2 linked regions of the Coturnix japonica genome follow. The protein of the gene in region 2 interacts with the protein of the main gene of each other region in a biochemical or structural test. Links are inferred from orthologs where the notes say so. Each region holds a gene or a part of one and is shown on either strand. Other genes may lie near its edges.

Region 1 (7,874 bases), on a different chromosome or scaffold from region 2:
ACCATCACAAACTCATATTATTCATTGTTTTAAGCTGTTTAGTTATTCCTTGCCCTGAAAAGCACTGCCTGTTCTTTAAGCTACCCCCAGTACTGTGAGAAAGTTGATCCTTAGGGTGCAAAAGCACTCAGACACACGAAAGCACAGCGTGGCTATTTATCAGACAGCTCCCATTACCAGCAGGTCTGCATGACTCCAGAAATCAATGCCATGCTTTTAATTACAACAATAATTAAAAGTGAGGAAATGCAACAGGTGAAACGGCACCGAGTGCTTGAGGTTGACTGAGCAAAACCCCCCTTATGTGCCCATGGGTGAGGAGGAGCAAACAAGGGGCAGCACAGGGGGAGCAGCTCCCCTCTGCAGGGTGCAACTTGCTTTAGGAAAGGCAGGCAATGTGAATGAGAAAGAGCTGAACATTCTGCACACAGCGTTAAGAACGTGGTAGAAGAGCTGCAGAGGGTACTTACATTTGGATCAATATTATTAAAAAGGTCGATTTCGTTTAAATGTTTAAAGTTATCACTTCCTCCAAGACAACTGGGGAGAGAACAAAAAACAAAAGAGCTTTCAGCAGGAAATGTCTTATGCTATAAATAAAGGTTGGTAACAGAGCTCGCTCCTTTAAGGTAAAGCATCACCTCATCAGCACTGGTGCAGCTGTGGGTATCCCAGTGCTGACGTGACCCAGCACTTACCTGAACGTAAGTTTGGATTTCTCAAAATTTACATTAACATCTTTACTGTCTTCCACACAGAACTCGATGAAGACGTAATCCCTTCGGTCGTACCACTTCGCAGAAGCAGGCTGCCTGCAGGGAGACCATTTAAAGACATTCAGGTTAGGATTTCAGCTCGCCTTTAAAGAGCATTTAAAGCTGATATGAAGGCTGAAGAGAAGATGGGTCGTCCAAGAGCTTCACGTCAAACCCAGCTGGGATCGGTACCACCAAACCAGCAGCATCATGACCCACATTTCACATTCTACACCTGCAGATTCCAACTCCAAGCTGGCATCCCTTGAGACAGAAGGCAGCTCCTGCCCTCCTGCAGCACAAAACACTGCTGGGTTCCTGAGCTTCCATACAGGCAGCTCAAGCTCCAGGTGAGCAGCACTGTTTGAGTGCATCCACCCCACACCAGGGGGGTAACAGCAGCCCCACTGCCAGCTCCCATCACATCCAGCCCATCCCCACAGCTCAACCACCCCATCCCAGTGTTAAACACCCAGCAGGAGCTGCTGTTGCTATGGCAGGGTGAGCACAGAGCTTTGCTCCCAGAGGTGTGTGAGCAACGCTGCAATTCCAGTGCTGAAGTTTCCTGTTCTGAACCCGCCGGTCATTTCCTTTGGTATTTCCAGCACAGCTCCAGGCAGTGAAAGCACATCAGGACACATAGAATAAGGTGCTGCTCTCTGTAGCACCTTCATGCTGTGAGGTGCTCGGACTCAGCGCTGCACTCTAAAGCATTACAGCATGAGAACCCAACCAAAGACGGATTAAGTTTCCAGAACGTTCCATCAGGGTGACCCGCCGTTAAGCTTCCAGAGCAGATCTCAACTCCCACCCCATTCAGCTGCAGCTACTGAGCTCACCTGCACCGTGACCCATAGGGTGCAGCCACTGCTGTGAGCCCAAAGCAGCCCCACAACCACAACTCACAGACGCTGTTTTAAGTTCAAACCCCACCATTCTTCCTGCCTGCAAGGAGTTGGGATTGAAGCTACTGTGATTCAGCTGATAAAGGGGAGAGAGACCAAATGGGATCCACTCCACGGCTGATTCCTGAATTGCTGCTGCTTATAAAGCCAAGGGACAGAGATCCCACCAGCCAGCGTGCTGTTATCACAACAGCAGCCTCAGTGTCCCTGCTGAGCACGGTGCTGAGGCTCTTGTGAATAGCAAGAAGACTTTGCACGTGTTTGCAGTGTCAATGGAGACATCCCCAGCCTTCCCTGCGAGCTGGGCACGTTCCCTGGTTGTGCTGTTCTAACCCAGCCTCGATGCTTGTATCCAGCTTACTCCAATGCAATTCATGTTTCTAACAGCAAACTTCTAGTACCTCCCCACATGCTGAAATACACTCAGTGCAACACATTAAAACCGTGCTAGAAGTCTTATATGAACTACTCACCTTCCTTTCCATCTCTCATAGGGAAACAGAGGCCTTCCCTGGGCTGCTGGACTCACCATCTGAATAGGGCAGCTACATAGTGGCTTCTAATGGTGATTCCTATCTCATGCTGTGCTGTGGTTCACACTGCTCTGAGCAGACCCAGGTTGAGCAGTGCAGGTGGTTCCCCCTCACCCCCCGCAGACCCAGCACCCATTTCCTCCCAGCACTGAGAAGGATGTTGGGATCATTAAGCAGAGCCCAGCGCTTCCTCCTGGCTCAGCTGAGCTCATAGAATGAGAGCAGAATAAATTAATTAGACGTTACTTCAGCCTTATGCCAACATTGTCAAGCAGAGCGTTGTGTGTGTGCTTTGGTGATGGATCGCCCTCCTGTCCTAACCACATTGAGAACAGAGCAAATAAACCTTAAGTCCCACCCAACAACCAACTGCCAGGCACTGAATAGAGCCAAGCACAGCAATGGAGCCCTCCCCATATTCCCAGAGGGCTCCACCATCACCTGTAGAGTCTGGTGACCTTCTGAATACAGACACATAGAATGGCCTGGGTTAAAAAGGACCACAGTGAGCACTGAGTCCCAACCCCATTATGTGCAGGGTCACCAACCAGCTGCCCAGAGCCACATCCAGCCTGGCCTTGAATGCCTGCAGGGATGGGGCATCCACAGCCTCTTTAGGCAGCCTGTTCCAATGCATTACCACCTTCCTCCTAAAATCCAACCTAAACCTTCCCTATCTCAGTTTCAAACCATCCCCCTTGTCCAATGAGGATGGCAATGATCACAGCAGCTCTGTGCTGGGTTGAGAAGCCCCCTCACCCCTTGGTAGGCTCCGTTGGGGGGGGGGGGGATCCTCAGCCCCTGTGCCCCCATATTGAGCTCAGATCACACCAGGCACAACTTGAGGCCATCAGGATGCCCCCAAAGCTGCCCACGTGCTTTTTCTCTTCCCCATTCAACACACTGGGAGGACACATCCCATCCTGGAAAGCACATTGACAGCCCGGATGGCTGCAGGCATCATCTGCTGGACAAAGATCCTCACCCCCCATAGAGGATCACGAGAAACCCTCTTATCTCCACAGCCAGCGTGACGAGTTTTGCTCCCCATTAACTCCTTTTGCATTAACTCCTTTTGCTTTCATCTCCCAGCACCACGTGGGAGCTGCAGGCCGTGAGAACAACCCCAGGCATCGCAATGCAGCAGCGCTGAGCTCTGGGGATGATGCAGCCTTTAAGGTTACACGGAGCTCTCAGCTCTGAGACTCTTTGCTCCTTCTAAGTCCCATTCAGCAGCCCTAGAGCTCAGAGTGATGGCGGTGATGGCCACAGTGATCAACCCATTGGATCAATGAGAACCGGCGGGTCTCAAGTCACGGGGTTTGGGGCAAATAACACCGGGAAGGTGCCGCTGTTTGCATTCACTCCAATCACTGCATGGAGCTGAACCACTTAGGGCACAACACATCGGGCTCAGCGCTCAGCCCGGCCCGGGGCTCAACCGGACCCGGGGCTCGACCGGACCCGGAGCTCAGCCGGACCCGGAGCTCATCCCGTCCCGTCCCGCAGCCCCGTCCGTCCCCGCCCGGTTCCCATTCATTGCCCGCCGTCTCGCTGCTCGCTGCCCCGCACCGGGACAGGCCTCATGTCGCGGCCCATCCCGGCGCTGATCGCGTTGCTCCGCTCCAGGCCGCGGCCTGTTCCCATGTCGGTGCCCGCCCCCTCCGCCGCTCACGGTGTAGGCCCGGAGCGCCCCCCCCACACACACACAACCCCCCTCAGGGCCTCACATGGCGAGTGGCGGCGGCGGCGGCTCCAGTCGTTGGGGGGACACGGCCTAACCCGGCGGGTGGCGGCGCTGTGTCTCTCGGTGTGTGTCGGTGTGTGTCGGTGTGTCGGTGTGTGTCGGTGCGGCCCGTTGAGCTCCGGGCGCTCCGAAGGCTCCGGGCTCGGCGCGGCCTCGGTTCCCACAATGCACCGCGCGGCGGCGGCGCCCAACGTTGGTGACGCAGCAAAATACCGCCGCGCCGATTCGGCCGCTTCACTCTGCGCATGCGCGTGTCCCGCGTGTCGCCTCCGGCGCGCGGCGCTTCCCGCCCTCCCCTCATTGGCCACGCCCCCTCCTCCCTTCTAGCAGCTTCTCGGCGCGCATGCGCACTGCGCTGAGTGGGCGGAGCCAGTGGTTACCATGGAGACATGGGGGGGGGGCAGCGGCCTGTAGGCGCGCCTGAGAGAAGTTGAGGCCTCAGTCAGTGCGGCTCTATCAATTAAGTTTTATTAACTGATAGAAACAAAGTACAAATGTTAAATGTAGGTTTTCCTTTAAGTCTTCTCTGAAATAACCAAAAAAAAAAAAAAAAAAAAAAAAAAAAAAAAGAAATATAGTAATAGGTTCCCTCTCCTGCCGTTCGGCTCTACACGTCAATCTCCTGAGGAGAGAAAAAGAGGCGTCAGTAGGCCCCAAAGGCGACAGTAGGCCTCAATGGGGGCTGTAGGCCTCAATGGGGGCTGTAGGCCTCAATGGGGGCTGTAGGCCTCAATGGGGGCTGTAGGCCTCATGGCGGAGTAGCCCCCATGGCGGCAGTAGGCCCCAATGGCATCAGTAGGCCCCAATGGCATCAGTAGGCCCCAATGGCATCAGTAGGCCCCAATGGAGGCAGTAGGCCCCAATGGCGGCAGTAGGCCCCAATGGCATCAGTAGGTCTCTGCAATGGGGCAGTAGTGCGTCCAATGGCATCAATAGGCCCTCAATGGCGATTTCAGTAGGCCCCAATGGCATTCAGCAGGTCCCCAATGGCATCAGCAGGCCCCAATGAGGCAGTAGGCCCCAATGGCGGTAGGCCTCAATGGCGGTAGGCCTCAATGGCATCAGTAAGGCCCCAATGGTGGCAGTAGGCCCCCAATGGAGGCAGTAGGCCCCAATGGAGGCAGTAGGCCTCAATGGCATCAGAGGCCCACAATGGCGGCAGTAGTGCCCCGAATGGCATCAGTATGGCCCCATGGCGGCAGTAGGCCCCAATGGAGGCAGTAGGGCCCAAATGGAGGCAGTAGGCCCCAATGGCGGCAGTGCGGCCTAGTGGTAGGCCTCAAACAGCAGAGGTGGGATGTGGGATATGAGATATAGAATGTGGGATATGAAATGTGGGTTATGGGATATGGGATGTGAAATGTGGGATGTAGGCCCCCCCCCAGCACACAGCAGCTCACCATTATAGCGTTTACAATGTCGTTGCTGTTGTTCTTCAGGGCACGGACCGCCTTCGCTCTGGACACGTTGGCCTGGGACATGACCAGCTCGATGTCTTTCACCTCCACACCGGTTTCATCAACCTAAAGAAGCAGCGTCCAGCTCTGACTGCAGCTCAGCACAGTTTGCTCCTTGCAGCCCCCAAGGATCTGCTCCCTTCTGCCATTGAGGCAGATGGAGAGCTGCATGTCTGCACACACATCCTGCTTGGCCGCCCATCAGAGGCAGGAGTGGATGGGGAAGCCCTACAGGGCCGTCTGGGGAAGGGCTCACCTCTTCTTCCTCGCTCTCCTCCTGCACGGTGGGGGTCTGTGTGTTTTCCTGGATGTTTGAGACGGCTTCTCCTTGCACTTTGAACTTCTCGGCAGCCGCCAGCTGGGCCTGCTGGGACAGATCTTCAATCTAGAAGAAGGAAAGAGCAGAAGTGAGGCCAGGTCCATGCAGTGTGATGGCGGCACACAGGCTCAGATGGGGGAGGCTGAGCTTGGCAGCACCCACACGCAGCAACCCCGATGTCGGTGTGGGTTGTGGGCCTCCCTGCACCACCCCAGGGCACAAATAGGGGTGTAGGCAGCAAGAACAAACCCCCACCACCCCTCACAGCTCTGCAGTCTGCCCCCTGTTGCTGTGAACACGGAGGAGTGTGGCTGCCTGGCACGGCAGTCAGCTGACCTTTGCTTCTCCAAAGACTATATAGGTGTCTGATGCTGGGCTCTTGTACACATCAGGTTTTGTGATGACAAAGAGGATGTTCTTAGATTTGCGGATGGTGACTCTGGTTACTCCTGTGACCTGGCGGAGGCCGAGTTTAGACATTGCCTGAAAAACAAATGAGAAAGAGAAGTGAAGGGATGAAAAGGTACTGACACAGCTCAGCCCGTCAGTTGTGTCCCCTCATCAGTCATTCTCAGGTTTTCAGACTGACATAGCACAGTCTGGGAGGAAACTTCTAAGTCCCATCCACGTCATGGATCCACATCATCCATGGATCCATGGAGCCACTCCAGACAAAAGGATTTTGCTTATGAACAGGGACATTCCCTCGCCTAGGGGTCTAATGAAGGCAAAAAGTGATATGAACCTCTTGCAGCTCCCACAGGCTGCAATGCTGGGCTGGGAGGTGAGGAGCTGCTGCCTTGAATGGCTTCCCAAGGCAAACACCAGGCACTCGAGGGTAATATGCAAGACCCCAAAGCCACAGCTTGTCCACATACACATCTGCCCACTCGCCTTCCTCTTACCTTCCGTGCTTTCTTTTCACTCCGGCTCTGTTTTGCTTTGCTAACAGGTTCTTCATCTATTTCAGCTGCTGCTGCAAGCTGCAAGGAGAGCAAACAGGAGAGTGCTGTGACAACCATACAGAGCTGGTGGGGTAAAGGGCATATATCTGTCCCCACAGGACACGGGGTGGCTGGTTTGCACCCCTCCCTACCTGTGCCTGCTGTGTTGTGGCCTGTGTGGAGTCGTGCTCTTCAAGCTCTGGTACAGACTCATCGCTGTCAGACTCTGTTCCAGACCCTGCAGAAATGAATGTCACAGTTCTCAGCTCAGCACCTTGCCAGGAGCTTCAGGCAGCTCCAGGGGACACAGTAAGCTCATGGAACACTAATGCCTTAGTGTCAGCTGTTGCTGGTGATTTGAATTCCAAGTGAAATGCATTTCCAGTTGGTGTGCTTGAGTAACACCTGGTGGGAAGAGCTTTGCAGCCATGAGCAGGGACAGCAGTGGGCCAGTCAGAGCCACCCTGCCTCCTCCTGGCTCTTGCCATGGTGGAAGATGCCCAAGAGCAGCCAGAGAAGCCACACCAGGGGCCAGGCAGTGCTCTGTGCCCAAAGACTCAGCCCAACTCCAATGCTCCAGGCCAGAGCCACGGCCCAGTGAGTCAGCAGCAATGCTCTCAGAGCTCCTCAAACCTGTTCAGCTGCAGGCACTGCGGGAGCTGAGACACGGCACGGAACCAAGACCCAGCCCACCAGGCCCTTGGGGCTGCTGCACCTCTCTGTGACTCGATGACAGGCTGATCTATACTCAGTTTGAAAACCCTCATCAAAAACAACCTTTTGGACACTCAGTTTGGCCTCTCCACCAGCTCATGCAGTGCACGGTACCTTCCAGAACACCACACAAAGCAGAGCTGTGTGTCTCCAGCCCGCAGAGCAGGCTGCAGGGTGAGCTCAGTGCTCTCTCATGCAGCTGCCACCCAAATTCAGGCCCATTTCCTTCTCTGGAAAGTGTCTCTGTACACACCACGCAAACAGGAGCCCACAACAAAGGTCTCTGCAGGTTGCTGGGTGATGCCCAGGCACCAGCACAGCCCCCAGCAACGCTCTGCTGGTGGATGGACAGTGGGAAACCCACAGCTAAATCCAAACACAGCTGGGCACAGCATGGAGCAGCTCTTCCCGAAGATCCAGCATGAAACCAGCTCAGGCAGCATTTCCAACACCCACACAGGTCACACCATGCTCCGTGCCTGACAACACGCTGTTAGTGA
Region 2 (7,961 bases):
AAAATGTATACAGAGCTGTGTAAAGCAACCAAAGCCAACACTTGTAAGGAGTGCAGAAAAACCTGTTATTTGTGTTTTACACATGGAGAAATTAATGATAAAATTGATTTTTTTTGTGGGGAAAAACATCACGTGGGTTCCCGATTTGAGTAACTCTGAGCTTTAATCTCAAAGGAAAAACAATATGAAATCCAAAGCTCCTTTACTTGCTGCCAACCCTTGCTATTGATTAGCATTTTCATCTGCTTTACAACCTCACGTTCTATATCCTTTCTTGCTGATTTAAACAGCAGTCCTACCTGTTATCAAGAAGCAGCACGTGATGCTGCAGTGCTTGCTATCACACAACCTTTAAACTCATAGTCATATAAAGTAATCCAAATGCTACTAAGGAAGGTAGTAAAGCAAAAAAAGAATACATGAACATGACACATGTATAATTATTTTTAAATTTTATTAGCTTTTTTTTTTTTTCTCTGGGAAAATTCAGTGCCCCTCAGCAATTCTGCAAATGGGTAAAGCCCTGCTAAGAAAACACGTGTATGGGAACTGCTGGGCCACAGCCTGAACCAGCTGAGCAGCTGCTTTAGGGGTGTAGCCGGCCCTGGGAGCACAGGTGGAAGCAATTCACTTGTGTGACTGGAAGGGGGCAGAGCCTGGCTCCACCTCTCCCTAACCTCATTTAAGGGCTGGCAGCCACAAGGGAAGGATCTCTACTTGGAGATCATCTCCTTTGGAGTGTTTGGTGAGCCCTGATCCTCAGAAAGGGGTAAGTGATTCCTTCTTTATTACTGGATTGTATCTGCTATCTATTTGTTGGGTTTAAAGCAACTATACCTGCTGCTGCCTTACAAGCAGGAAGAGGAAGAAGTAAAATAGAAAAAGAAAACCCACAAAAAACCTTTGGAAGTCCACCTTCTGTTCTTCCTGGCTCAACCACTATCCAGCCCTTAGATCTCATAACTACATGGCAGCTGCAATCCAGGGTAAAAAATGAAACTAGTTGTATTCAGAAGCATTCATACCTTTAACAACATCGATCCCCAAGGTGAATTCACATTTAAATATCCTTGTGGGCCTCAAAGACCAAGTGTTAGGTTTTCTGAACCCCCTTTCTGACTTTACTATAGAAGAGTTTCCTGGATGCATGTTTTGATAGCTCAGTGCTTATGTCCAATCTAAGTGACAGAGTACTTACTGATTTCTTTTATAGGGTCAAACATGTCTACAGATACTATCAGTCTGCTGACATACTAATTTCTTCTACTCCTTTTAAGGCTGTGAGGTTTCTTCTTGGAAATGGAAAGAGAAATCCTACCAGCAGTCAGCATTTCTGAGAAGTATTAGCAAATCTTTGGTTTCGCTTTGCTGATGGCCCTGCTGTAAATGAAAATGAAATGGGTACCAAAGCACAACAGATATTCCCCTAGATCACAACCTTCCCATGGGCAGAGGTTGATGGTTCAGAGATCTATTGCTGTTACTTCAGTCCAAACAACTGTTGGCTTCTCAGCAGTCCAACATGTCAGGTTTTTCCTGTGTCCACTATACCTAACTAAACACATCTATCTACAGCACGTAGATTTATATGACTTAATGGACGTGCATTTCATTTTCCCCCTTTGATGGAAGACCACCTCTTTTAGCGATGAGAACAGTGGAGTTCTTAACTATTTATACCTTAGCTTTGCGGTGGTGGTTTTAAATAAGTGAACTTGCTATTTCAGATGTGACAAACTTCTCCCTCTTGCTACAGACAACAGGAAAAAATGCAGCCTCTGCACCTGCTGGGAAATGAAGCTCAGACATGCAAATCAGCCACTGTTTAAAATAAGGCCTTTTGTTTGCGTTGGCCTCCTGGCCTACATGACTCAAGCTGTGTAGCTCTGTGCTGGAGCTCCCATCACCCAACACCAAGAAGTTCATCCAGCCTTAGAGGAGTATATTAGATAAGCTTTCTCCCTAGTGAAACATTTTAGTGTGTGAGATTGTCTTGATTGTCTTGATGCTGAGCTGACCTGTGGCACACTGAGTGCTGCTCATGTTTCCACAGCAACAAGGAACATCACATAGAATCATAAGATGGCTTGAGTTGGAAGGGACCTGAAGGATCATCTAGCTCCAACCGATATGCTGCAGATAGGGCTGCTAACTGCTAGACTGAGCACTAGACCAGGCTGCCCTTGAACACCTCCAGGGATGGGGCATCCACAGCCTCTCTGGGCAGGCTGTGTCAAAGTCTCACCATCCTTTCTGTGGAAAAACTTCCCCCTGACATCTAATCTAAATCTTTTCTCCTTTAGTTTAAGACTCTTGTCCCATTTCCCCTTGTCCTATCACTACGTACCCTTGTAAATAGTAGATTTCCCTCCTGTTTATAAAGTCTCTCTCCATACTGGAAGGCTGTAATAAGGTCTCCCTACAGCCTTCTCCAGATTGAACAAGCCTAGTTTCTTCAGTACCCCCACCTTCATTCCTCTCAGCATCCTTATGTGCCTCCTCTGGGCCCTCTCTAAAAGTTCCACATCTTTCCTGTGCTGTGGGCCCTAGACCTGGACCCAGGACTCCAGATGGGACCTCAGGAGGGCAGAATGGAGGGGGACAAGCCTTTCCCTGCTGGCCACTCCTCTTCTGATGGAGCCCAGGATGCTGCTGTCCTTCAGGGCTAAAAGCACACACTGCCGGCTCATGTTAAGTCTTCCATCTAACAGGATCCCTAAGTCCTCAGCAGAAGGTGAGCTGGAAGGTACTGATGGAGCTGGAACTGCAGCACAGATCCCATGTGCTACTGCAGAAGGTGGGCGCGGAAATGTTCCTAGGAACAAGCTTGGCCTCCACCTGGGGATCAGCTGCAGTTATTAATCATGTAACTGAGAAAGATGAACCCACGTTAAGTGACTGTCCTATTTCACCCATCTCAGTACTTCTGCATCCACTTAGCGCCCTGAAATCAGGGCAGCCTCACTTTGGTGAGGCTCTTTGCAAATGCCTCGAGCCTTTCACTTTATGAGCGGCCGTTCTGACCGTCAGGACTGTAATGTCTCCCAGCAGACAGCAGTGCAGCAGGGCGCAGTTTCGGACACGGCCGGCACGTACTTACAGAGCAGAGCCCGGACTTGGCCCGCAGGCAGCACTCCCTCACCCGGCCGCCTGCTCTCTGGCAGCGATCATTCCCGCATCGTTCCCGCAGTGAATCACAGCTTCGTGTGCCGTGGCCGTGGCGCCGAGACCCGCCGTATCCCGCCACTCCGAGTCCCGCGCGCTGGCGTTCGAACGGCGGCCGTTGTGAGGCGGGGCCGTGCCGCGGGGCGGGGCTGGCTGCTGGCTGCTGCCGGCATTGCGGCCCGTTGGCGGCGGAGCGGGCGGCGGTGCCGGAGGTGAGGAGGTGAGGTGAGGCGGGGCAGAGCTGGCTGACCGGAGGGTGGGGTGGGGTGGGGTGGCAGCCGAGCTGCGCGGCCCCGCGGCGGCGGTGCGGGGTGAGGCGGGGCGGGCTGCGCTTTGTTCCCTCGGAGCGCTCCGCCATGGCGGCACTGCGGCCACAGGGAGCGCAGCTGCGTTAGCGTTACCGCGTGTGTACGAAGGCATGAAACAACAGCTTCCAGCCTCTAACAGCCCCGTGACTGTGTGTTTGCGGTCACACGCGGCGAGCTGTGCCCTTCTGTCACACGTAGGGCGCGTTGTGTGTCTGCGGTTTCTGTTTCGGACACGCGCTTCGTGGCTGTGACGGGTTGTTGTGTGGCAGCTGTAGGGCGAGCTGCCTGCACGGCTGTGAGGGCAGCTGGAGGCGGGTCAGCCTGCGGCTTCCCTTCCTCTCTCGGAAGCTTGGCTGTTATTGGCAGTGTTGTACAGTTTGTGTGGTTCAGAATTCAAGCGAACAGTGCCTCGAATTGAATCGTACAATCGTTTCAGGGACCTCCAAAGGCCGCGTGGTCCCCTCTGTACTGAACAGGGACACCTGCAGCTCCATCAGGTGCTCAGAGCCCCCCCTGCCTGACCTGGGCTGTCTCCAGGGATGGGGCATCCACCGCCTCTGGGCAGCCTTGGTGGTTCTTATGTGGCAGCAGTGATAGATACGAAGATCTGAGTGCGATAAATAAGTCCAGGATGGAACAAACTAAACACTTAAATTTAATCATCTCCCTATCAAAACAAAAGCATTGAAACAACTGCATCTAGGTAGAGCAAAATATGCTTTTGGTTTCATTGCTGTCTAGGAGACGCTGGTTGTTTCTCATAGCTTGCTGAGCATTGTGCCTCTCTCAAGCACTGTGTTTTACCACACTGTACTGCTGCAGCTCACTGTAGGATTACCTTTACACCCTTTATCTCCATCTCGCAGCTTGTTTGCTTAGCCTGTGTGACCTGAAGCAGAAATATTGTAAAACAGGTCATAAAAATAGGCTTCCTGACATCTGCAGAACGTATTCTGCTGGGTTTGTAAAAAAGCTGCTGCTTGTTTTTGCTGCTTGATTTTTTACATTTCCTTGGGATTGAAAACTCTTCTTACCAAAGCTTTCAGGAAAGGAGCATCAAGGAGCAGATTAAGTTCTCTTATTAATTTTTTGAAGCGTTGTCCTGATTTCTTTCCCCGTCCCTTTCAGCATGAGATCATTCTCCACAGGGAAATGTGAATTCTGCTTGACAGAATATGACATCATTGCATTACCTCAACTAGGATGAGGCAATTCTTAGTCCATTTGAATCAGCATCGTCCTGCAGGGAGCAGTGCTGTCACCTTGACTGGTGCTTTAAAGCAGAAAGCGTGTGTTTGAGCGCCTAGCAAGGAAACAGGTCTCTCTTTGTGGATGTATGTTGCCTTTTAGAGAAGCGCAAGTGACTTGGTGCATTAAGGCATTCAGAAACTCTGAACTCTTCTTACTCTTTATAGCAAGTGTTGATATTATTGATAGTGTTGTTAGTGAATCATTCAGTTGTGCTAAATCTTAAAGTTGCCTGTTGAAGTCTGCAGCCATTTGCCAGCGTTTTTCCTGCTGCTGCTTACTGAAACCAGCCCCTAATGGGATGCAGGGTTTTGTTTGGCGCAGCTGCCCAGAGCAGCTTGGTAATCCACTTACCCTCTGTAACCATCCTAAATTCACTCTGTAGGCCAAGGAGTCAAGAGCTGTCCCCATACTTTGGCCAAGTCTTTCTATAAGCAGTCCTTGGTAGCTTGGCTCATGTGATGGACAAGGTGTGACCACATCTCAGGTGGTCATATATTTGTTAGTTTACACTGCCTGGGCCCAGCCCTTAAGTGCTGGCACTGCCGAGCTTCATAGTGCTGGAGAAATATCTGTGCCGGAGCAGGGGGATGTTGGACATTCTTTTCAATGACAGCTGTTCTTGCCAATTCCCAGCAGTGTCAAGCTCTACAGTTCACTGCAACTGAAAAGCAGAGAGTTCTATGCTTGTGTTACCCTTTGGAACCATGTGTCTTTTTTTTTTTTATGTAGGGAGCTTCTAAGAAATTAAACTTTGTAGCTGGGCAGAGTGAATCCTGATCATGGTGCTGGGTAGGGAAGTTCAGCATAACCAACTGGGTTCCTGCCTCATCATATTTAAAGTGTGTTTCTAAAATATAAACTGATGATGCATCTTATGAACTCTATTTCTAAAATAACAGCTTTTTTGATGCTTCTGTAATTTGTTTTTCAGGAGATCTCATATGTATTATGATATAGTTCTCAAGTCTGGAATCACCTTGTGAACCATATTTCTTAATTACGTCAGTGCTTCAAGATACAGTGAAGCAGTAGTCAGAATAACCTTGAAGATCTTTTGGAGCTACTAGAAATGTACGTAACTGTCTCTAAAGAAACAAGGAAAGAGAGAAGTTCATACATACCCAGACTAGTGCTTTTCGTGCATTGGCAATTGTAGCCACAGAAAATACGTGGTCCCAAGGATATTCATGGTGTATTATTTAGAATATAAATAAGAAGAGTAATTATTACTTTGTCTTGTGCAGAGATTTAACTTTGTGATGCTTAGACCTTTTCTGAATCCCAAGTTATCTTTAACTTGTGATGATGGCATTAAACTAAGAGGGTAGATTTACATTAGACAATGAGAAGTTGTTTGGGTTTTTTTGTTTTCTTTTTCATTCAGAGGGCAGTGAGGTGCTGGCACTGCTGCCCAGAGCTGTGGGTGCCCCATCCCTGTAGGTGCCCAAGGTTGGATGGGCCCTGGTGTCTCGCTCCAATTTAGGAGTGAGGCAAGGTTCTTTTGATATGTTATGCCCAGCGTGAGATTAAGAAGAAAAACATTCAAATGTTGATCCGACCAGTTTATTAGAAATAATAGACAGCAGAGGGGATGGGGAAAGGAGAGCGGCGAATACCAAAATTAGGGTGATGGGGATGGGAAAGTAGGCGATAGAAAAAGTAGGAAAAGAGGCAAGAATTGCTTAAAAGTGGGGAATAGTCACCACCTGGATGCAGCAGCGTCCCGTTGCACGTTGTTTCGTTGATCCGGGGCAAAATAGGCGTAGGGGAGAGCAGCAGCAGAGTGGCGGGCCGCAAGCAGCAGATCAGTGCAGCGCAGAGCAGATGGTCAGAGTAGCAAGGTCTCATGGAGCAGAGTCTCGAGCAGCAATCCCAGGAGAGACAGTAGGCAGCAGTAGGACGACGGTGGAGGAATCAAAGGTCAGATACCTAAAAGATTCTTCAGCATGCAGGCATCTTCTTCAGAATGCAGGCGTTCACGTAGAGAGGCATCTGATGACAGAAAACCTCCTTGTTTCCGTAGTGAGGCATCTGGTGTCAGAAAACCTAAATTCGGGGTTTGTACGTGCCCTTTTTATCCTTCTTCTTCCCGGCCTACCTGACAATCCTGGAAGGCTCGGGTCAGAGTCCTGTGAATTCCTCGGAGATGGCCATCTTCCTTGAGACAGGCCCACACAGAAAGACCACTTTAGGGCCATTAATCTGCATCTTATCTCCCTTTCGTAGCTCCCAGACTTGTCCATCTCTTAAACAAAGGGATTTCTCGAACCTTGGTTCCTATGTGTCTCAGACAAAGGGAGTCCTGGAACCTTGGCCAGGACTTGCCTGAACTTGTCCATTTCAGCAAACTTTTGAGGCAATAGTGTAAAAAGCATGGCCTCTTACACCTGGGCAGCCTGAGCTGGTGGGGGCACCCAGTTCACGGCAGTGATTGGGGCTTGGGTGGCTTTAAGGTCCCTTCTAAATCAAACCATCAACTGGAAGGAAGGATTATTGCTTTTAAATTAATTTCTGCCTTGATATCTTATGTTTCTTTTTTGCTTGTGTTTTCAAGCTGATAATCAAGAGCCAGAATGACAGACATAAAAGATGGACCACGCTCAGGGGAAGATCTGTCAGATGCAAGATCTTTCCCTGGTTCCAAAGGGTAAGTGAGATACTTTTGGCTTAAGTTTTCAATGTAAGTGTTGAGGAATCTTATGCTGTAACTGAAGATGAGAGCTGTAGAAGAGATACTAATAAAATTAAGCTTTCAAATATGCTACAGTATGCTAATCATTTATATATATATATATATAAAAGTTCCTGTGCTGGCTTTGAAAGTATACCATCTCTGACAAAACAGGCCATATGTATGAACAAGGAACAAAAAAGCAGAATACCTAAGGTGCAGTTAGATATGGGTTAGCAGTTACCAAGCCATTAACTATAGTTAAAAAGAAATTTCTCTGTCTTAACCTAAGCTAAATGTTCACACCTTTCCTTGAACTGCTTCTAGAGCTCACTGGAACCTGCAGCAGACAGTTCAGTCTCTTAAACTGGCCTTCTGTAGACCTATGTGTGCAGAAGGAGTAGTGCAAGGGGGATTTCCAGCAGTGCAAAGGAAGATGAGCAGTCCTGTTTTTCCTGGTGACATTCGTTGTTCCATTGGCGTAGCACTATGACCACATTACACCCTCCCTGGGAAGATAATTTCCTTCTGAAGTCATTCATTCAAGTGCCTCAAGCAAAAGTTGA

The links.
Region 1: of the proteins of CASP3 (region 2) and PTGES3, one has a biochemical effect on the other in vitro, tested with the Homo sapiens proteins (2 studies listed by BioGRID and IntAct). The link is inferred for Coturnix japonica from reciprocal best matches to the Homo sapiens genes CASP3 and PTGES3.

Annotation. Positions count from the first base shown.
Region 1 is NC_029544.1:1,697,517-1,705,390, reverse strand, and holds the start of PTGES3 (prostaglandin E synthase 3), read right to left. Parts: upstream 4,175-7,874; 5' UTR 3,926-4,174; coding exon 3,924-3,925; intron 813-3,923; coding exon 699-812; intron 541-698; coding exon 471-540; intron 1-470. Other genes in the region: NACA (nascent polypeptide-associated complex subunit alpha), read right to left, coding at 5,080-5,463, 5,654-5,782, 6,053-6,199, 6,622-6,699, 6,813-6,898. UniProt on the Homo sapiens protein: Cytosolic prostaglandin synthase that catalyzes the oxidoreduction of prostaglandin endoperoxide H2 (PGH2) to prostaglandin E2 (PGE2).
Region 2 is NC_029519.1:34,957,303-34,965,263, forward strand, and holds the start of CASP3 (caspase-3), read left to right. Parts: upstream 1-3,275; 5' UTR 3,276-3,385; exon of another isoform or gene 3,386-3,390; intron 3,391-5,655; exon of another isoform or gene 5,656-5,795; intron 5,796-7,278; 5' UTR 7,279-7,297; coding exon 7,298-7,371; intron 7,372-7,961. UniProt on the Homo sapiens protein: Thiol protease that acts as a major effector caspase involved in the execution phase of apoptosis. Following cleavage and activation by initiator caspases (CASP8, CASP9 and/or CASP10), mediates execution of apoptosis by catalyzing cleavage of many proteins.